Linked DNA regions of Tamandua tetradactyla. The protein of the gene in region 1 purifies or fractionates together with the protein of each later gene. This does not show direct contact. Links are inferred from orthologs where the notes say so. Each region holds a gene or a part of one and is shown on either strand. Other genes may lie near its edges. The genes, in order: SART3 and TUT1.

What was found.
Region 2: the proteins of SART3 (region 1) and TUT1 purify together in Homo sapiens (co-immunoprecipitation; 4 studies listed by BioGRID and IntAct, counting the BioPlex papers as one, with this or other methods). This does not show direct contact. The link is inferred for Tamandua tetradactyla from reciprocal best matches to the Homo sapiens genes SART3 and TUT1.

Annotation. Positions count from the first base shown.
Region 1 is NC_135331.1:22,828,118-22,838,843, reverse strand, and holds the start of SART3 (spliceosome associated factor 3, U4/U6 recycling protein), read right to left. Parts: upstream 4,049-10,726; 5' UTR 4,020-4,048; coding exon 3,705-4,019; intron 1-3,704. Other genes in the region: iron-sulfur cluster assembly enzyme ISCU, read left to right, coding at 5,416-5,529, 7,860-7,973, 8,866-8,976. UniProt on the Homo sapiens protein: U6 snRNP-binding protein that functions as a recycling factor of the splicing machinery. Promotes the initial reassembly of U4 and U6 snRNPs following their ejection from the spliceosome during its maturation.
Region 2 is NC_135335.1:11,966,996-11,977,984, reverse strand, and holds the start of TUT1 (speckle targeted PIP5K1A-regulated poly(A) polymerase), read right to left. Parts: upstream 5,302-10,989; 5' UTR 4,945-5,301; coding exon 4,863-4,944; exon of another isoform or gene 4,849-4,862; intron 3,432-4,848; coding exon 3,241-3,431; intron 1-3,240. Other genes in the region: metastasis-associated protein MTA2, read right to left, coding at 7,294-7,459, 7,696-7,838, 7,947-8,065, 8,433-8,522, 8,692-8,920, 9,183-9,322, 9,428-9,525, 9,708-9,766 and 4 more. UniProt on the Homo sapiens protein: Poly(A) polymerase that creates the 3'-poly(A) tail of specific pre-mRNAs. Localizes to nuclear speckles together with PIP5K1A and mediates polyadenylation of a select set of mRNAs, such as HMOX1.

The DNA.
Region 1 (10,726 bases):
CCTTCACTGGAGCTGCCAGCTTCACAGTCTGCCTTACAGATTTTGGATCCTTCCATTCTCATGGTTGAGTGAGATACCTTCATAAATTTCTTATTTACAGATCTCTCCTGCTCCTTCTGTTTCTCTAGAGAACCCTGACTAACATACCAACTTTCAAAGTAACCTTATCAAGATAATCAAAGCCAAGAAGCTAACAAAAAAAATCACAAACCATATGAATTTGATCAAATTAAAACCATATGAATTTGGTCAAATTAAAAAATATGCTCAAATTAAAAAGTCAGAGGTGATTCAGAACTTGGAGTAACAAATCAAAGATACTCAAGCAAACCTAAATAACTTCAATGAGTTGGCTAAAGAGACAAAGGATATCAAGAAAACACTAGAAGAGCATAAAGACAAATTTATACAATTGTATAAAGATGTAACTTTTCAAATGCAACTGTGTGATTATGAAAGTTTTATCCAGAGTATGAACAGATGGGTAAAAAATAAACAAATAATAGGGGGGATGAGGGGTAAAATAAATTGGAGAGACTGAAACACTAGTGGTCAATGAGAGGGAGGGGGTAAGGGGTATGGGATATATGAGTTTTTTCTTTTTTCTTCTTTTTCTGGGGTGATGCAGATGTTCTAAAAATGATCATGGTGATGAATACACAATTATGTGATGATACTGTGAGCCACTGATCATACACCATGTATAGACTGTATGTGTGTGAAGATTTGGCAATAAAAATGTTAAACAAATAAATACATTCCTGAGGTTAAAATAATGAAGATACTTCACATGGAGAGGTGTTCTAAAAGTACATCTATTAAAAGCATACAGGGTACATGGGAGGTTCAGTGGTAGAATGGCTTGCCTTTCATGCAGGAGACAGACCCAGGTTCAATTCCTGGACCATGCACCCCAAAATAAAAATAATAAATGCATACTGAAATGCAATTTAAAAAGACATTTCTACAAATTTCAGTCAGTATTAACAAACGAATACACATTTTAGTCTAGCTGGCCTCACAGAATACCAGTAATGACAAAGGAGGCTTTAAAGAGGGGGCTTAGCCAATGTACAAAATGATCCACTGATGTCCTAACTTCCTAGCAGTGTGAAAAGTACTGATCTGAACCTAGAATGAGCGTGGAGAAAAATGAGAGGCGTGGTAGAAAGAAAACAACTGGTGCAACCACAGGAAGAGCAGAGAAAAGAGAATGGAACCAACCTTTGTATAGCAGCTACTATGCATAGCAGAGCCAAACTGGGCAATTTTACATGCATTGTGTCACTTAACCCCCATTAAAGCCCTGTGAGAGGCATTACTACAATCTCCTTTTTACCAACTGGGATAAAATAGGCTCAGAGACTTGAAATAACTTGTCCAAGGTCTTCTGACTAGTAAGTGGATCACCTGATTTGAGTATAGTTTGCAAAGCTATACTCTTTGTGCTGCACCATGGTACACTGACAAATGTGCTTAAGGCACGAGGAGGTGCTACTTTTAGTTTCAGCCCAAAAACACAACTAATATAAAGTCTTTGTTTTTGTTACATGAACAGATATCACAGCAAATCACAAGCCTGCATAAAATAAACTCAAGAACGAAAACTGGAATACGCAGATGTGGCAAGGCCAAGATCTGCACCGCCCTATTTGGAAGTTACTTGTCATTATGCTCTACTATAAGGGCAGTTACAGGAGGAACTAGAGGCTGTGGGATTACAATGATGTGGGAAGGAGGTATGCAAATATTGGAAAAATAAATTTTTAAAGCCCAAGATAAAGAGGATAAGGCCAAAGACCCTTAGCTCACTATCACTTACAAGGTCGCATACTGTGTGGACACTTTCTAAGCTCCATACCAACCTAGGTGAACTAAAGATATAAGTCAGGCAGGCAACTGCACAGCATCCACTGCCAGCATACCTTCACTCTGACCCCTCCTCCCCATTAGTAAAACTGTGCACGATCAAGGGCTTCATATCCATTCCAAGCCTTCCCTTCCTACTAAAACAGGTGATCCTCATGTAACAGTAAGGTCAAAGTGAGCTGGCTCATCAAAAGGCCCAGAACTAGAAGTTTGAAGAAATTATTTCAATGTAGGCAGGGAAACAGTCAGCCTAGCACCCAGAATCACACTGTATTTGCTGAATGAATAAAAGACTGAATAAACTGCAGCATATTTATTTATAAAAAGGAAAATTGTTAACTGCCTTCTAACCTCTGGTTGGTTCCTTTGACAATGAGATGCAATGATAAGTGGAAGAAGATAACCAAAGAATATCACTGTTTCATAACATAAAAATATCAATGCCAGAGGGAAAATTATCATTAACCTTACACTCCATAAGATTAAATGAGTAATCTAGGTTAATAATCTTCATATCACAGAGAGATTTCACATCTAGTGTTGCATTTGATCCAGAGGCTACTTTGAAAGCTTCTGAATAGTAACTCACTTTATCATTTGTTCTGAGCCTCTGTTTCCTCATCAGTAAAATGAAATGTGCTCTATCTCTTCTGTTTCTTCCTCCAAATTCATCCACCCTCTCCTCTGCCCTGCCCTGTGCTGACCACATTAACAGATTCCCTAGCCCTCTAATAATCAGGTGAGTTTGCCCAGCAGGAAGCACCCAGCAGACTTTCACAGGGAGGAGAGAGAGAGACAAGGGAGAAGGAGGCCAGGGTATTTCTTCCCCTACCCCAACTCCTGCCGGGAAACTGAGGCTGCATCTCTTGACCAAAGGTCTCAAATCCTCTCAGGTTCCCTCTCTACCCATCTCTTCTACATGTCACTCCCCTTGCCCCTTCAAGTCTAAAGGTGGAAACAAAGTCCTCCTATTATTAAATGGTACTAAACTTTGCTCCTGATTTCCCGGTCCACACTTTTATAAATGCAACCGTCCCTTTATCAACCTTTCCTCAAATTATCCTAACTTGAGTGTACCATCTATTTCCTGCTGAGACTTGATTTATACAGGAGATAATACCACCTACACCTCCCAAGACTCTTCAGAAATTAGCAATCTGGTTGACATTGGCTGCCAGGCACTCGGCTATCATAACTGTCATGGCAATGCTAAGATACAGAAATTGCCACTCCCTATTTACAATTCAGGAAGCAAAGACTCAGAGAATTTAAGAAAATCGCCCAAATGATAGCCGGAACTGGCGCCTTTAGCCTTGAGAGCCAAAACTTCTACCTTCCCATTTCTGTTGTCATGATTACCGTGAATATTTTTCCTACTACATCATATTTCATTAATGCTGTCCTTCCTACAGGAAAATTATTCTCTCTTACAAATGAGATTTATTGTTGCTGTTGAACGCAATTTAACTGTGTGGTTAAGAATGAGAGTTCTGGTGTTGGTTCAGCGTTCAAAGCCTGACTGGCCACCTGTAGGACATGAAATCTTGAGCAAGAGACTTCCCTCCACAAGCCTCAGTTTCCTCCAGTTAAAACGAGAATACACTATTTCCTTCACTGGGTCGTTGTTAGGATTTAATGGAATACGCTTAGAAAGCGCCCCACACGCAGGTAATGCTCAAACGATGGCGCTACGGTGACTGAAAAAGAGTTACTGCGGCCTTGGGGGCATTACTGCTGCGGACGGGAGAGGTACCCGAGCAAGCGCAGTCGGACGAGGGGCGAGCCCGGACCCGGGTACCTGAGGGAAAGAGCCCGCTGCCCACCCCCGAGCACACCTGCTCCTCCAGCCGCTCGATTTCCAGCTGGTTCTTCTCCTCCTCTTCGTCGTACTCCCACTCGTACTCCCCGGGGGAGCTCTCGGCTGAGGAAGCCATGGCGTATTCCTCGTCTCCATCGCTCTCACTCACGCCTTCCTCCTGCTGATCCCACTCTGGCCCCATGGTCTTGTATGTCGCAGCGGCCACAGCCCGAGATAACACCTTCCTCCTCGTCCTCGTCGCCTTAGCCTCATCCTCCTCTCCCTCAGCCTCGGGCCCAGCCTTGAGCTCAGCCTCCGATTCTGAAGCCGAGGTTGCAGCCGCCGTCGCCATTTTGTGCCTCGGATAATTCTCGGGTCTTCGCTCCGCCGCCGAAGACCGACGGAAGTAGAAGCTGCCCGCGGCGTGCGCCTGACCAAAACCCTGCTCTCTCGCGATCGAAAGGAAAGCTGTGAGCCTCGAGTGACAGAAAAATCTCGAGATACGCTCAATTAATACTATTTTTATGTACTTATAAAAGCTCCCATCACAGAAAAGTCTCATTAATATAACATGACTTTCGTTACAACTTCGGACAGAAGTTGGATGTTTGGACAGGAAGTGGGGGGGGAGCAATGAGGTTGTGGCGCCATCTTGAGAAGGTCAAAGTAATTCTTGGAACGGAGACCTTACTAAAAGTAAGGTCTGATATGGCTCGTTGTTTAGTCTCCCCAGCAACCGAGCCCCAAACGCGGAGAAAACTCCACGTCCTCCGGGAAGGATAGACTGCGCTACTCGTGAGAAAAATGCATTGCCCGAAACGATTCTTCCCCTTTACGTAATGCGAATACTCCTGAGTCTAGTTTTAAAAAATCATATTCTGCACATCTAAAATATTAATTAAAATAAAAGTTAATACCAAGCATTAATTGAGAAACTCAGTTGCCTGGGATTACCATATACATTTTGTTGTTTGCGGTTATTTTCTATATGGAGACTATATATTATATATATGTATACATGCTTTTTTTTAATCAGGGCATGGTGTTCGTTTCTCTAATTAAACTTCCCATTTTTGAGGTAGTAAAGTATTGACGTGTTTCCTTGTTTATTGTCTTGAGCAAACATGTTTTGCTTTTCGTTGCATTCCCAAAGCCTGGTATGGAGACTTAACGTACGTAGTCAACACGTATGTGCTGAGTGGATGAAAAAATTCCCCTTAAATCAGAACAGATGACCAAATCATAAAGACCTGATATCATTCGCTTAGAGTCACAGAGACAGGAAGACGCAGAACCAGAATTCTAACCCAGGACTGTCTTTGCTGGAATCCCAACTGTATACCTAACTCTTTGAGCGAGTTACTAAACCTCTCTGAACCTCAACTTGTTTGGCTGCAAAATAGGTTAGGAAAAGTGGATCGGGTGATCTGTGCATTCCAGCGGTGAGCTTAGCCAGCTCAAGCTTGGGCACAGCGTTCAAACCTTAAACCCGTTCCTGCATCCAGAACCCAACACGAAAAACAAGATCTTATAGTAACTTCAGACCTTCCCGCGCCCCGCCCCGCCCCTTGGGGGGGCGTGGCCAAGGTAGAGCCAAAGAACAGACTGGGCGGATTGGAAGTGCGCAAGCGCGAAGATGCCGGGACGTAAAGCGACGCGTCCTTGGATCCGAAGTCCCGAGTCAAGTAGGCGGCGCGCTTCGCAGCTTCAGACTCGGTGTGGGCTTGCGTTAGGGGCGTCCCCGCAACATGGCGGCGGCCGGAGCTGGCCGTCTACGACGGGCTACGTCGGCCTTGCTACTGCAGAGCAAGCGCCTGCCCGCCCGGGAGCTGTCCGCCCCGGCCCGGCTTTATCACAAGAAGGTAGGAACGAGTAAAGGGGTGCACAGGGCCCGCACCGGCCGGGGAGTGTAAGTGTGAGGAACGGAGAGGGGACGGTGGGGGGGTCGTCCCCTCTCCCGTCTTCTGTCTCGACTAACTTTTCCTCGCTGCGCAGTAACACTAACCGCAATACAAACCAAAATAATAACGCTTACAATAGCGGCTACTTCCTGTGGGCCTCGCAGCTGACTGCTGTTTAGTGCGCCTTTAAACTTCCCAGCAGCCCGGGTGGGCTACACCCCACCGCTAGGGATCCACTTTAGCCAGACCACTGCCCTAGCTAAGTGACCTTGGGCGAGTCACTGCCCCTCGCTGAACCTCAGTTTCCACACTCATAAGATAGAGGTCTTAGCAGTCCCCTCTTACAAGAGATGATGCTTGTGACGTGCTCGGTGTGGTGTCTGGCTCTTAGGCTCAACATATAAAAACTATTAATGCTGCTGTTGTAGTAAAATTATCTCAGGTAGGCCTTATGGAAGTACTGGTTTCTGCCTTTTTGGAGCACACAGCCTCCTGTTGGAGTCAGACGTGTCACCAATAATCATGTTTTTGTTTTTGTTACGTTTTGGGTTTGGGGCCGGGGGCTGCGAAGTTTGCAGCCCTGCCTTCTGGGAGTTTAAGGTATCTTAGAGATGAGACTTTCACTTGGGATTGGGATAAAAAAGCAAAGATTGCTGGCATTCAACATATGGCAATATCCAAATTAGATATTATTTTGTGGGTCCTTGGGCTTAATGTTAAAATCCGTGGAAGGATAGAAGAGGGAAGAAAACAAGAAGATCAAGACACTTAACCGTTATTTAAGCCTTCTGTTTGCCAGTTTGAATGGACATTTAGTCTGGTTTCTGCATATTTGCCCACAGCTCAGGATTATCACACCGCACACACACCAGTGTTTTTTGACAGTACACTCAGTGAATTTAAAGCTAAAAGCTTTTCAGCCACCAGGGTGCACTGTTTAACCAGCCTGATTTCAGAGTGTCTACAAGTCACGTGGAAACTTCTGGAAAGGACTTCAATTTCTGAAACATAGTTACTTTAGAATTTTCTAATTGTAATCATTATCCTTTAAGAGTGGATTTTATTTTGAAATAACAAAAATGCTGCTTGAACCTAAATTGATGACTTGGATGGGTACAAGTTGAAGTAATCATTTGTGATTAAAAACCTTAATGGAGAGTGGGTTACCGTGGCTCAACAGGCAGAGTTCTCACCTGCCATGCTGGAGACCTGGGTTTGATTCCCAGTGCCTACCCATGCCAAAACAAACAAAATCTTAATGAAACCAAGACATGATTTAGGTGATTTTTCTCCAGTATCTCAAACAGAATCTGAAGATAGGAGTGGAAATACGAAAAGACTTTGGGTCATGAATAAAGCCTTGTTGACATGAGTGTAGACTGGTATTTTTACAGGTTGACTGCCAGGTTGCAGGCCTTGTGCCAGTCTTTGAGGGAACACGGATTAGTAAGATTCAATTCCCTACCTCCTGGAACTTAAATTCATGTCGAGGAGACCAGTATCAAGAGTGATCCCCAGGGATGAGCCTGGCCCTAGCACCATGGGATCAACAGTGCCATCCTGACCAAAAGGGGGGAAAGAATTGTAACAAATAAGGTATCAGTGGCTCAGAGAGTTCAAATAGAGTCAAGAGACTACTCTGGAGTCTACTCTTACCCAAGCCACAGCTAGATATTGCTATTTATTATAGTTTGCCAATCCCCAACCAAACCATTCCTGCCCACCCTAAAGAACACCTAAAGCATTATATAAGATTCTACAAAGGTACCATGTACTATGATTACTTTCCAGAAACCTACAACCTCCAGATGGGTTCCTAGGCCAGATGATCCTGAAAGCAGAGGGGCCAGCCTCTCCAGATCATCAACTAATTCCATCCCCCAACCCACATTATTTACAGCCCTTTCCAACATGAAAAAGTCAGAATATGCATAGCTCAAATACCCCTAAAGATTGGGAGAAAGATCAAAGGAGAATGTGGAATTATAACAGAGAAGATAGGACTTACTAAGTGAGCCAGACTGCTGAATCACTATACTGATATTTCTTTTAGTCTCCAATGCCTTAGAGCAGCTAAAAGGAAAAACTTAAAACTGTGGAACTTCAACCCATACCAAACTCTAAAATCTATTCTATAACTAATTGTTGCAGTGTGCTTTGAAATTTATTGCTTTTTTGTATATATGTTACTTTTCACAATTAAAAGAAAGAACAAGGGATTAGTTACATAAAGTATGTCATAATCAAAAAGAAAAAGAGTGATAATGATTCTCTTAACCCTCTCATTTCAGGTTGTTGATCATTATGAAAATCCTAGAAATGTGGGGTCCCTTGACAAGACATCTAAAAATGTTGGTACTGGCTTAGTGGGGGCTCCAGCTTGCGGTGATGTAATGAAATTACAGGTATGGCTGGTTTTCATCCTTAAAGGTAATAACGTAATCCCTTTGTTTTTACAGTGCTTTGCAGTTTAAAAATCATCTGCACACACAGCGTTTCATTTGGTCTCCATTTTTATTCCTGCGAGATGGCACAAGTTGATGTTATAAATGATTAGAGCAGAGACTGAATCTTAGTTCCTCTGTTTGTATGTCTGACCTTTTCTGAAATAGTAAACCAAACTCACCTTTGTACTCTTAATTTCAGCTGCAGCTATGTAAAAAGTTTTTTGAATTTTACTCATCAAAGGAAAACCACAACTATTTGGTTAGCAAGCCCCAATCCAATAGGGCAAGAAATGCAAAAAATCATACCTCTCCCCAGATTAGAGGCAACATGAATGAGGTGGCTGGTGCTTTAGGTAAATTGTAGCTTTATCTACAATTTCATCATGGTGGTTGGGAGCTTGCCAGAGGTTTTTCATGCCTATCTGAGAAAACAGAAACGAGGCAGGAAGGAACTACCAATGCAATTTGGTGCTCAAGAAAAAAGAAGTATCAACAAGAGAACTTTATTGCAGCTTCTCCCAGGGTTTAAAGAAGTAGCAGATTGACTCCAGCAACTTCAAGCATATTTTTTCAAATAGGACTTCATCGCTAAAAAAAGCAGGCTAGGGTTGGGAAAAAAAGAGTGGAAGGGATAGATATTTTTCAACTGATCTTGTAGTTGTGGTATTTTCTAAGTTTAACTTTCCATCACTGAGCTCTTTGAAATGAAGCAAGCTCAGTAACTGAATGCCAAAAATTAAACTGTGGAATGCAAGACCAAAGCTTTGGGGAGAGCCCCAGTGAATCCCAGGTCCCTAGGTTCTGAAGGACAGCACCAGGAATCACTGCTTAACTCTTTATCTTTTTCTAGATTCAAGTGGATGAAAAGGGGAAGATCGTAGATGCCAGGTTTAAAACATTTGGCTGTGGTTCTGCAATTGCCTCCAGCTCGTTAGCCACTGAATGGGTGAAAGGGAAAACAGTAAGGTTGCTTGTAAATTTGATATAATTAAATCATAATCTCCAGAAATTTGGCTGTTATTAAAAGGTCTAATGAGTTAAAAAGGTGACCATGATTTTTTTCTATTTGTTTTTGTTTTTGATCATTTTGTTTGGGGCTTTTGGCATTTGTTTGTTTTTTAATTTAATTAAAAAAAAAAAAGATCCTCACCTCTCTTTCTGACAAAATAGAATTGAAAAGAAGTCTTTGGTTTTTTTCTAAAGTTCCAAAGATGTGTGTTTTTCTTACACATCTAAGTCAGGTCAGAGGATGTATGTAGTGGTTTGTTTTATTGTTTTTCTCCCACCATGTTTCAGGAAGGATTCTAGATGGTTTATAAAAATTCATGAAATATCAAACTAGCCTGTGTTAAAGAGAGAGAATAAAGAATCAAAAAACAGCAAGGTATGGAGCAAAGAAAACAAATCAGAATCATTGTCCAGGTGGCTGGCCAGCAGTCCCTAATGGTAGAGATAAGAAAGGCTGGACTGTCTTTTCCATTGTTCTCTGCCAAAGCCCCTTCCCCCCCACTGCAGAGCTAGAAGGCCAAACCCAGTGAAGAGCTGAACTTTCTGAAATTAATACCTCTCAGGGTTAGTCATCATTAAAACTCTCAAAAAGCCAGTCTGCAGGGTACTCATCTTTGGGGCCCTGAGGGACCAGGTTTCAGCAGCTGAGACATAGAGGAGTATGCTCCAGGGAGCTGGCCAACTCTATAGCAAAGCTGTTGTGTCACTTTCCAATGGCTCAGGGTCTTTTGGCTGGTAAGCTCCTCTGGGCCAAGGAAGCATTCACCTAACCTGTTCGTGGCAGGAGGTGGCTGTGAAGTGATCTATTATCAGGAAAAGGGGAGAGTGAGAAAGGGCACCTTGCTTTAGGACCTGGCCCTAATGGAACCAAGAGTTATGATCAGAAATCAGAAAGAGAGGGTCTTTCTTTAACCTTGAGATCCACTGAGTTGCCAAGGACAGAATTTGAATTATAGTAGAGTTAGAAGAATTAGAAGATTGAGGGATAGTCAGATACAGACTCCCTGGGGAAATCTGACTGGGGGACAGCCAGATATAGATTCCATAGGGAAATCTGATTTTCCTTAAGGCAGTGGGACTGTGATCTGCATAGACAAGGAACTGCCTGCCTCTTGTTATCCCCCAGTGCCCTCAACCAAACCCCAAGCATCCTTTCTAGTTTGCCTCTGAGATAAAGGGGAACATGATACGTAGCTTGGAAAGCAGGATTCAGGAGCCTTGCCCCAGCTGTTAATTCCAGAGCCACTTCCACACAGGTTTTTTAGTCAACGTGGAAAAAATTCTTCTTTAAGCAAAGGGTAGAGTCAGAGATATCTTATCCTGAGCCCTGTCTGTGTGACTACCACAGTGCTGGATTGCCATTAGCCACTCAGCACCTATAATTAAAGGAATCTGAGAGCATGGGATATAGTGCCTTTTAGAAAAAGATTCATGTTGCTTAGAATAAAGCATATCCTAAGAACTTCTCACAGGTTCTACTCCCAGCCAAGCAATGCAAGCATATATACTTCATACTTGAGAATTCTACCTGCTGTTGTGACGTGCAGGTAGAAGTCCTGAGAAGGTCCTCATCCTTTCTTTTGAGTTATTAAACAGAAATCACCCCCCACTAACCTATCCTGAGGGCCTCTTTGGCCTCCCTTTTTTATTGTGTGTCCTCCACAGGATAGAGCATTGCCAAAACTGCTCATCTTCCCCTTATA
Region 2 (10,989 bases), on another chromosome or scaffold:
TACATAAGATGGAATATTATGCAGCTGTAAGACAGAATAAAGTTATGAAGTATGTAACAACATGAATGGACCTTAAGGACATTATGCTGAGGGTGATTAGCCAGAAACAAAGGAAAAAAAATACTCACTGTATGGTCTCACTGATATGAGCTGACATTAGTGAATAAACTTGGAATATTTCCTTGGTAACAGAGACCATCAGGAGATAGAAATAGGGTAAGATATTGGGTAATTGGAGCTGAAGGGATACAGATTGTGCAACAGGACTGAATATAAAAACTCAGAAATGGACAGCTCAATATTACCTAACTGTAATACAATTATGTTAAAACACTGAATGAAGCTGCATATGAGAATGATAGAGGGAGGAGGGCTGGGGCATAAATGAAATCACAAAGAAAGAAAGACGATAAAGATTGAGATGGTGTAATCTAGGAATGCCTAGAGTGTATAATGATAGTGACTAAATGTACAAATTTAAAATATGTTTTTGCATGAGGAAGAACAAAAGAATGTCATTACTGCTGTGTGCTGAAAATAGATGGTACTTAATATTTTAAAATTTCAACTGATGTGTGAGACTAAAGCAAAAAATGTTTATTTGGTACAAATCTATACTTTGACTAGTGCATCTCCTAATATAACTTATGTAAATAGTTGATTGAACACCTTAAGTACATGGAACTTTGTATAGGACATGAGATTTTGTTGGTTTGTCCAGGTGATGCCCTGATGAATCCCAGAGTGATCTGATCAGTGAGTGGAAAAGTATTTGCAAAGTCCCCTTCCGGGAAGGGTGAGAATGGGGGAAAACTCAACTTCCCCAAGTTGAATTCTTGATATTCTCACAAGCAGTGTGGACAACCAAAGCTATAGGCTGAGCCCCCAGTCTTGGGGTTTGTTCATATGAAACTTAACCTCACAGGGGATAGGTCAAGCCTACTTAAAATTAAGCCTAAGAGTCACCCCCAACAGAACCTCTTTTGTTGCTCAGATGTGGCCTCTCTCTGCAGCCAACACAGCAAGCAGACTCACCACCCTCCCCCTGTCTACGTGGGACATGACTACCAGGGTTATGGATCTTCCTGGCAGTGTGGGACAGAAATCCCAGAATGAGCTGAGATTCAGCATCAAGGGATTGAGAAAAACTCTAGAATGAGCTGAGACCCAGCATCAAGGGATTGAGAAAACCTTCTTGACCAAAAGGGGGAACAGTGAAATGAGACAAAGTGTCAATGGCTGAGAGATTCCAAACAGAGTCGAGAGGTTATCCTGGAGGTTATTCTTATGCATTAAGTAGATATCACCTTGTTATCCAAGATGTAACAGAGAGGCTGGAGGGAACTGCCTGAAAATGGAGAGCTGTGTTCCAGTAGCCATGTTTCTTGATGATGATTGTATAATGATATAGCTTTCCCAATGTGACTGTGTGATTGTGAAAACCTTATATCTGATGCTCCTTTTATGTACCTTGTCAGGAAACAAGTAGAACATATGGAACAAAAATAAATAATAGGGTGAACAAATGTTAAAACAGATTTAGTTTGAAATGCTAGTGATCAATGAAAGGGATCAGTAAGGGGTATGGCCTGTAAAATTTTTTTTTTCTGTTTGTTATATTTTTCTGTTGTCTTTTTATTTCTTTTTCTGAATTGATGCTAATGTTCTGGGAAATGATGATGATGATGAATATGCATCTATGTGATGATATTGTGAATTGCTGAGTGTATGTGTTGGGAATGTTTGTTTCTTGTAATTTTTTTAACTCATAAAATTTAAAAATGTAAAAAAAAAAAAAACCAGCATGGTACTGGCATAAAGATAAAGATAAGATATAATGACCAACAGAATCTAATTGAGTGCTCAGAAATAGATCCTCTCATCTATGGACAACTGATCTTTCATAAGACAGTCAAGCCAACCCAAATTGTACAGAGCAGTCTCTTCAATAATTGGTGTCTGGAGAACTGGGTATCCATATGCAAAAGAAGGAAAGAGGATCTATATCTCACACCCTAAATAAAAATTAACTCAAAAATGGATCAAAGATCTAAATATTAGAACTAAGACCACAAAACTTTTAGAAGCATGAGCAATGAAAACAGAAACAGATAATGGGATCTCCTCAAAATTAAACACTTTTTTTTTTTTTGCATGGTCAGGCACCTGGAAACGAACCCCAAAATTAAACTTTTGTGCATCAAAGAACTTTGTCAAGAAAGTGAAAAGGCAGCCTAAGCAATGGAAAACAATATTTGGAAATCAAATATCAGATAAGGGTTTAATATCCGTAATATATAAAGAGATTCTACAACTCAACAACAAAAAAACAAACAATCTAATTTAAAAACGAGCAAGAGGCAAAAATAGACAGTTATCAGAAGAAGAAATACAAATGGCTAGAAGGCATATGAAAAGGCAGGCATTAAAACCCAGGACTACCCAGGCCTGACTTCTTGTTGTATGAAAAAAATTAAATTCACTTGTTTAAGCCACTGAAGTTAGGTTGCTGAATGCAATCTCTAACAAAAGCAGATCCCATCCTAAGACAAGACCTGGGCTGCAAAGGAGACCTGGGTCTCACCTAAGCCACATCTACTTAACCAAAATGCAGACTCAGAACTACAATTTGATCAAAGAGAGCAACATTCCAACAGTAAATCTTTTTCAAGGGATGAAAGGGACAATGACAAAAGGTCTGCATGAATGCAAGACCACAAAGAACAAGTTTGTTTGCTTAGCACTGACCAGAGCAGGATGTTCGGACCAGATAACCTCAGTACCTCTCAGTGTAAAGTAATAAACTGACAACTGATTTACCAACCAGTCTCTTGTGGGGTTAGGATAGGTCCCCAGATGGTATAGTCTTAAAGCACCTGTTTTAATTGTCTCCTTTCTCCTCTAGACTGTAAGCTCTGGGCAAGCAGAAACCATGCCTATCCCAGCTCACTACCCAGAATGCAAGTCTATGCACAGTGCCTAATACAAAGTTGACACAAATAAATATTTGGTGAATAAAAGTTGATTGAATAAATAATGACAAGTCTCCTAATGACTAATTCTGAACTGATAAAACTCCAAGCAGGGGAGGAGTTTGCAAAGCTGGACTAGGGCAAATACTGTGGTATCCCATCAAGGACAAGCCATATGAGAAACCAGCTGAAGCAACTGCTCTCTCGGGTTTCTTTTGGGAAGTAGCACATCAGACTCATTCTTCATTCCCAGAGTCATGCATTCTACCTTGTCTTTGTCCATGACGACACTGGCCACAGGTCCAAATGCCTGGAAGTATTCAGAAAGCTGAGTAGAATCCACATCCCGCGAAAAGCCACTGACAAACACACTCCGAAGTCCCTGGGCTTTTCGGGCAGCTCGTAGTTCTACCAAGTGCCGGTGCTTCCGGCCTCCCAAGTGAGCATCTAGGCTGGGCCCTGCAAAGGCAAGTATGAGACAAAACATCAAATCACTCTTCAGTGTACCTGTTTCTGCTTTTGTTCTCTGCACACCTAAACCTTTACTGACCCTTCAAAGCCACAGAAAGTGTAACTTCTGAATAAAAAAAGTCCTGGTCCCCTTCTTCTTTCATCTTCCTCTCTTGTTCATTTTTCTATATGCTGCACTCTCTAAGTGGTTCTTTGGGGAAGTGGCTACACTATAAATATTTCTTAAAACATCCATAAGTGCTAGGTACAGTGGCACCTAAAAAAATGTATAGCAATTAACAGGCAATTTATCCAGGTCATATAAAGAATTAAATTAATCTGCACTATGGACTATTCCCCATGAATCATTTCTGGGTACTTAGCATGTACTGCTTTTAAGGGCAAGATCTGGAACCAAACTGCCCAAGTTCAAATCCCAGCTCTATAAAGCCATAGAGACTTCAGGCAAGTTACTGAGCCTCTTGTGCCTCAGTTTTCCCAGATATAAAATGGGGATAATAATATACCTACCCACATTGGTACTATTCATATATACAACTGGCAGAGTCAAGTACACAGTAAATGTAGAAAAAGATAGCTTCTATTATTATTTTTATTATATCTAAGTCTGCTCCTTAGTGCCACCAAGGTAGGTATGGAGCCAGGGAAGATTTAATGACTTCTGGGTTTCTGGCTTGCCCTACTGGACAAATAGTAATAGTGTCATCCACACAGAGAGGGAAGAATGGAAGAAGATTCTCTACAGGCAAGATTATGATTCTAGACTTCATCAATAGAATCTGAGGTTTCACTCAACCCCTTTGAAAGTCATGCAAGAACCCTGTCTAGATTTCCAAACTCATCTTCTTGCTTGCTGGTGCTCTACGCTCCAGTCATGCAGAATCTCACAAACATAACCATGCTATTTCACACATCCCTGCTTTCGGCAGCTCCTCTAGAAGGGTTCCCTGACTCCCAATTGCTGCTGTCTCTGTTATCCACAGCTTTCCAGACATTATCTACAGAGTATTGAAACGGTTTCCTTCTCTGGATGCTCAATTCCTTCATCTCTAAATCCCCTCCTTCACCCCAGAACCCAACAAAGTACCAGGCACAGATGACTATTAAATAAATCACTATTAAATAGAAAACAGGGTGGTGCGACGGTGGCTCAGTGGCAGAAATCTCGCCTGCCATACCGGAGACCCGGTTCGATTCCCGGTGCCTGCCCATGCGAAAAAAAAAAGAGAGAGAGAAAGAGAGAAAACAATGGAACTTTCCTCGTGGGGATTTCGGTCGGGAGGTGGCTTTTGACAACGGAGGTGAGTGACTCCAACAACCGACCTGACAGGGACAATGACCTTTAACCCTAACTTTCGCTGGGGCCAAAAGACTAAAGACCCCAGCCACATCCCCTCCCCCTCACTATCCACCCCTTACGGTTAGCTGTGGTAACTTGGCAGAGGCAGCAGCGGAAAGCCCCACGCGGCAGCGACTGGACGTCCGAACCGACCGCCGCCATTGCGCCTCTCACGTACCGACAAAAATCTACCGCTCCTGCCTCCACCGGAACTCACTCCTCCAAATCACAACGCGCTGGAAAACAACTTCCGCCGGTCTGATAGGAAGTGACGTAATCGGCACTCGCTCGGGCACGTTCCCCCCGGAAACCGAGGTCAAGGTTCCGTTTCTTGATTGTACGAAGTCGCCACCGGCTTTAGGAAAAGCCTCCCTTCTGCGATGCTTATCTTGCTTTCGGTAAGCCGATTGGTGTGTTCTGCATGATCAGGCGCTGATTGGTCCGGAGGATCGTGGCTATTGTTAACTCAGCTGCCAAGGCAGGCGCGGGCGGGAGTGGGGACTGGGTCCCCTGCGGCTGCCGGCTCTGCTGCTGCCGGATGGCGGGGCTGCGGTCGTGAGCCGCCGGTCGTGAGCCGCTACTTCAAGGGGCAGTCGCGACCCTCGCGCGGGTGCCCACATCCAGCCCCACATCCACCCCGCGAATAAAGGCGGAGGATGGGCAGCCTCCACGCTTTGGGCCCACGAAGCCTACGGCTCTCCCTGGACTCCCAATCTCGGGGCGTTTACCCTCTCCCTCCGTCCACGGACCTCCCCCCGAAAATGGGTGTGCGGCAGCCGCCTCCTAGTCTCGGGTGGGAGCTCTGTGCGCTTTCCTTCCGGACTCCGGCGATCACTCGCTGCGGCCCGGGTGGGCCAGGCTCGTCCCTGCACCGACTTGCCTTCCGTAGCAGTGACCTCCGCAGTGTATATTCAGGAGGCTGCAGAACCTCCGGCCCACAACAGGGCAGTGCGCAGGAACCAGCTGTGGTAGCAGCCGAACGAGGACAGTAGAGGGGGGATGTGCTGCTGACCCCCAGACTGGCATAGTGTTCACTTCCTCCCCTAACACCTCGGAGGTGTGAGCCAACTCCTCGTGTAGTGGATGAAGGGGACCATTCGATGGGATAAACAGCTTGTGCTGTGGTTACCAGCCCCCACCTTTGGATGGTGGAAAGAGCAGCGGACCTGAGGCAGGCATACTGCGGTCTGTAACTTTGACCAAGTCACAACTGCCACTCCCCATCTCTAAAGGAGTGCCCAAAGCACACACAGACTGACCTTGTCCTCTCTCCTAAAGTATTCTTCCTATTGGGCTTCACCCAAACCTAAAACCGCAGAGGACAGTGGGCCCTCATAGCTAGGCAGTTGCTGAGACCAGCCCTCAAGATCTTGAAGCAGCAGTGTGTGAGAACAGCCGTTACTGGGTAGTAGGATCCTGCGGTACACTCCAGAGTGGACTACATCCCCTGGCCTCTAGCAACTCCCAGAATTCCCTGAGCAGAGAGAAGAGTAAGAATTGGGAAAACAGAGAAAAGACCACGCTCACAACCCCCTCCTGTGGAAGCCACCAGCCGCCCAGAGAGCCAGTTCATCCCAACTGCTTTGAACCTGGGCCAAGATGGTCCATTAGTTCCAGCACCACTGGGAACAGGGGAGCAGTTTGTGTCCTACAAGAAGGCTGGCTGGAGTAGACAGCCTGAGTCCAGTGTGCATAATCTCATAAAGAAGTGGTTCCCAGGGCAAGCCCAATCTGTATCTCCTTTATTGTTCTTTGTCCTTTATTTTCCCACACCCCCCCTCCTGGACCTCCCTCCCTACATCTATGGCAGAGAAGAGCTGAGCCTGGAGGGACTGAAGAAAACAGCTTTTTATTTGTTACTATAAGAACCAATTACAGAATTCCAAGATTAAAAAAAACAGACAAAAGATCTTTATTTCTGAGTTGGTGTACAAAAGGCAGAAGGGGGGAGGGGAGAAGAGGAAAGGAAAGAGTGAGCATGGGCTGGGGTTGATGCCAGTTTAGGGGCCTCAAACTCCAATTAGGAAAGTCCGGACACCGGACACGAAGAGAAACCCCCAATTAGAAAAAAAATAAAAATAAGATAGACATGGCAGCGCATGCCCCCCTCCCCCAACCAGGTACTGCCACCTGATACCTGTTTACTCTTCCCCTCCCCTCCATCCCCTTTCACAAAGGGAGGCAAAATTTTTAAAAAATTAAAAAACCCTCCCCCCAAAACTGTCCAAGACAAACTGTGGGTCCTATCCCCCCAAAAGAGGCCAGGTTCCCCACAAGGGCCAGTTTCCTGCAGACTGCCCTCCATCACCAGGCTTGGAGAAGCATGGGAAGGAGACAAGCTTAGTGGTGGTGACACCAGAGGGCGTCTTTCTCTTCCAGGGACACGCCCACACTTGCTTCCTCCCTTCTTCCTTCCCTCCACACTCTCTTAGATACCAGAGAGAAGGGAGGTTTGAGTGCCCTGAGGACCCACCCTCTACCTTTCAGCCCACTTCCCTTCCCCACAGATGCTCAATCCTCCAGAACAATGGGCTCATTGGTGCTGGCAGGATGTGCAGGTGCAGGTAGAGGCACTTGGGGCCGCACTGCAATCAGCGGAGGCTTCACCTTCAGGGGCAAATTGGGTCGGCGGGCAGCTCTCCGCATTTCCAAGTGGGTCAGGGCCTTCCGCAGAGCCCTGGCCAGAAAGATGAAGACAGGAATACAGAGAGCTTAGAAAGGCTAAGACTCCCCAAGAAGAAACCCCACCCTCCAGTTCTGCCTTCCTGTTCATTCTTTTCTAACACACACACATACACACTCCCCACCCCACACCCACAGTCTTTCTGACGCTGGTCTTGCTGGGTTCTTATTTCCCATACCCACCCACTTGGCTCATCAACCTCTAAGCCCCTCTCATGGTGGGTTCCCTACCTGGTATCTTTTGTGGCCACAAACACCACAGGATTGGGGGCATCAGCTGGGTTAAGTTTCTGGCGCTTGGCTACTGGCTGTGAGCTTGAGCGAATCCCTGAGGCCAGAGGCCTTCCATTGGCAGAGAAGGGGACCCCTGCCATCTGGAAAGGGGTGTGGCAGCACAATGAGGGTGGGGGCCCTCTGAGGCTCCTACCAGAAATAAAAACCCACCCACGTTAGTCTTGGCCAGCCCCAGTCTGCCAACTCACGGTCTCATAGGCTCGTTTCACCATAATGCCTGCCAGGCCCCGGTTCTGGGTCAGCTGGTTCCTGTTGATTGGTGTCTTGGTGCCTCGAGGGGTTTTGGGTTTCAAAGGAGCCTGGGCCACTGCCAGGAAAAAATAAAGGAAAACTTAGAAAACTTTTGCCACCTTCTTTCCCCTATGCAGTTTCCTTTTCTCACCTCCACCTCTTTCCCTGTGGCAGCAATTTTCCCAGGCATTGCCAAAAGGAGTGATAGGGAGGGTCTGGAGAGGTATTACCAGTACTTCAGAGATCAGGACTGCAACCTTATCAAGTCAGTGTGGTAACACTGTATAGCTTACGGGAAACCATTATTAAGCTATAAAAGTACAGTTTGTTAAACTAAATCTTTTAGGATTCAATGGGGGAAAAAAGCAGAGGAGTACTACTTTACTCTTATAGTAAAAGGAGCCAGAGCTTGAGCCCACCCTAACTGGCAGCCCATCCTATACCCAGATCTTTGACGATAGTTGCCAGGGGCAGCCGAACCAGAGGATGAATTTTCAATGGAGTCTTGGCAGCCTTAGGAAGTCGAATGGAACCTAGAACACAAAGATTGAGGCTTCACTATTCAGCTACTTCTGAGACCAGGAGCCATGTCCAATCTCTTAATAAACCTCTAAGACTACAGTCGTTAAACATGCAGAGAAACACTGGTCTCGAGCCAGAAAAACCCCGACCCCGTCACTAGCCCCATCATCCTGCGCTTACACTCTGCCTTGATGGCATTGGCATTGATAGGGGCATAGGGTCTCCGGGCTGCCCTCCTTGGCTGTAACAGGTCCCTGCACATGCGCCTGGCAAGACGGGTCAGCTTTGTGGTTTGGAGCAGGAATGTCTGCCTGTTCTTGGCCAGCAGCTTGGCCCGATTAGCGCTGGTCGTATAGGGGGAGAGACTTTGAGCTTCAGGTCTGGACAAATGACCCCTCGAGTGTGGCTCCTGGGGGAAGGGCATAGGAAAAGGGGAGAATGAAAATCAGCACCGAGACTCCCTTCTTTCTTCCATTCTCTGCAGAGGGTGAATTTATTCTTGCCTCACCTTTTTACTGCCATCCCGAACTACTGGCTCCCTGACCACTATCAGCTCTGCCCCCTTTTCCCTGGCAAGCCATCACTGGATAAAGAAATGGGTATTCTGACCTTCTAAGTCTCATATCATCATGCTTACTCCTCTCCCCTGCCTGTCTGCCATCAATTCTTACTGTGGTGCCCCGAGCAGCCCCCTCAAGCTGGGTTGGGGTCTTCAGTCCCCCATACTTCTTCCAGTAGATCCAACAGGAAGCACAGAGGCGGCACTGCATGTTGGGTGGGCCCCAGGCATACCACTGAGCAGACTGTGTGGCTGCAGAAACATAGAGATGAGTGGGAGGTCAAGGAGGAAAGAGTTCTCAAGCCAAAGCAGGCCTCCCACCCACCCCTGGCATCCGAGTCCTTCCCTTGAACTCACTGTGACAGCTCTCGCAGGTCAAGCCCTTCTGGAATCCGGCCCCATTCATGCCAGGTTTTGAGCCCACAGAGATGATCTGGTTAGGGTTTGGCTTAGTGCTAATAGGAGTGACAGGGGGAAGAAACCAAGAAACTGATCAAGGAAAAGAATTTATTTCTGCCCTGTCTCTAACATTAACATAATCGAACCCTGCCTTCTGCCTGCCCCTATCACCGAGGAAATCACAGTTTGGGCAAAAAGAAGGAAAATATATCCAGTCTCCCCTACCCACCACACTTACTAGGTAGGGATGTAGACCTGTTTCAATTTACTGTCTGCTTCAGCAGCTTTCAATCTTTTCTACAAGAGGTAAAAAGAAAGAAAAGGATCAGCCTTGGCAGGGAAGAAGTCACCAACTTGAAAGGCAGAGTTGAGTGAGAGGCCACTAGTCCAACCTCCCCACCCTAGTTCTTACCTGCTGAATATAGCGGTCTGTGGTTTTCCACATGTAGTAAAACTGGACTATGCTGGCGAGTGACTTCCAGGGTAGCTAAGGACAGAAGGATGAAAGAAGATCTGGCCCCTAGATCCTGGTTCCCTCACCTGTCACCTCTCCTCCTAGACACATCCACTTACAAAGTCCTGGCGAATATCGTTGAAATCCTTCCCATACTTCTCCAGGGCCTCCTCAAATAGCATGGCCTCTGAGGCAGACCATTCCTCCATCTCATCCCGGCACAGCACTGGGCCCCCCTGAGGCACCAGGGTCGACATGGCTTTAGCCAGGTCATAGCCATTCCTCTGCAGTGTATCCATTGCATGAAACTGAAGGGACAGTGGGGAACAATGCTGATGACCCCTGGCACTATTCCCCCGCAGCTACTTAAACTCTCCCACTCCCTTGGAGACACCCTGTGTTCCTGTCCCTAGGCGCTGCAAGTACCCACAGAGCCCAGCCTCCCCAATTACCCGCCATATTTCTGCTCACCAGGGTGATGTCTCGGGAGGCAGCAGCTGCACTCATGTGCAGGCTTGGCTGCCGAATAGAACTGCTGCAATCTAGGGCTCTTGCAAAGGTCCCGACAGCTCTGAGGAAGAGATTTAGAAGTCAGAAGGGAAGGAAGAAGAAAATTTGAGTAGACTTAGGCACTATGCCAAATGAGAAAGAAGGGAAAAACCTATGCCAAAGCAAAAATAACAATATCCCATCTCCAAGAGTGAGACTTAGGGCTATGCCCACACCTCCCCCAGCCCATCAGCCCCATCCACCCACCCCTCACCGGGCCACCACGAGAAACTGATCAATCTGCCGGTCTGTGAGAGGGTTGTCTGGGTCCCAGACCTTCATCTCCATCTTCTGTTGGTTCCGATTATCTGATTCTCCTAGAAAATGAGCCAAGGGCATCATTGGGGAGAGGGAAGGGGAGCATAATTGGTGTTTTATCACTCACAATAGCACCTCCTACCTCTTCTTCCCCTGTTTGGATCCCACTACCCACCTCAACTCTCAGAGACTGCTCTTCTCAACTGTGCCCCTTTTCCCCTTTCAAGTTCCCAAGGCCCCATTCTATCAGGGTCATAGC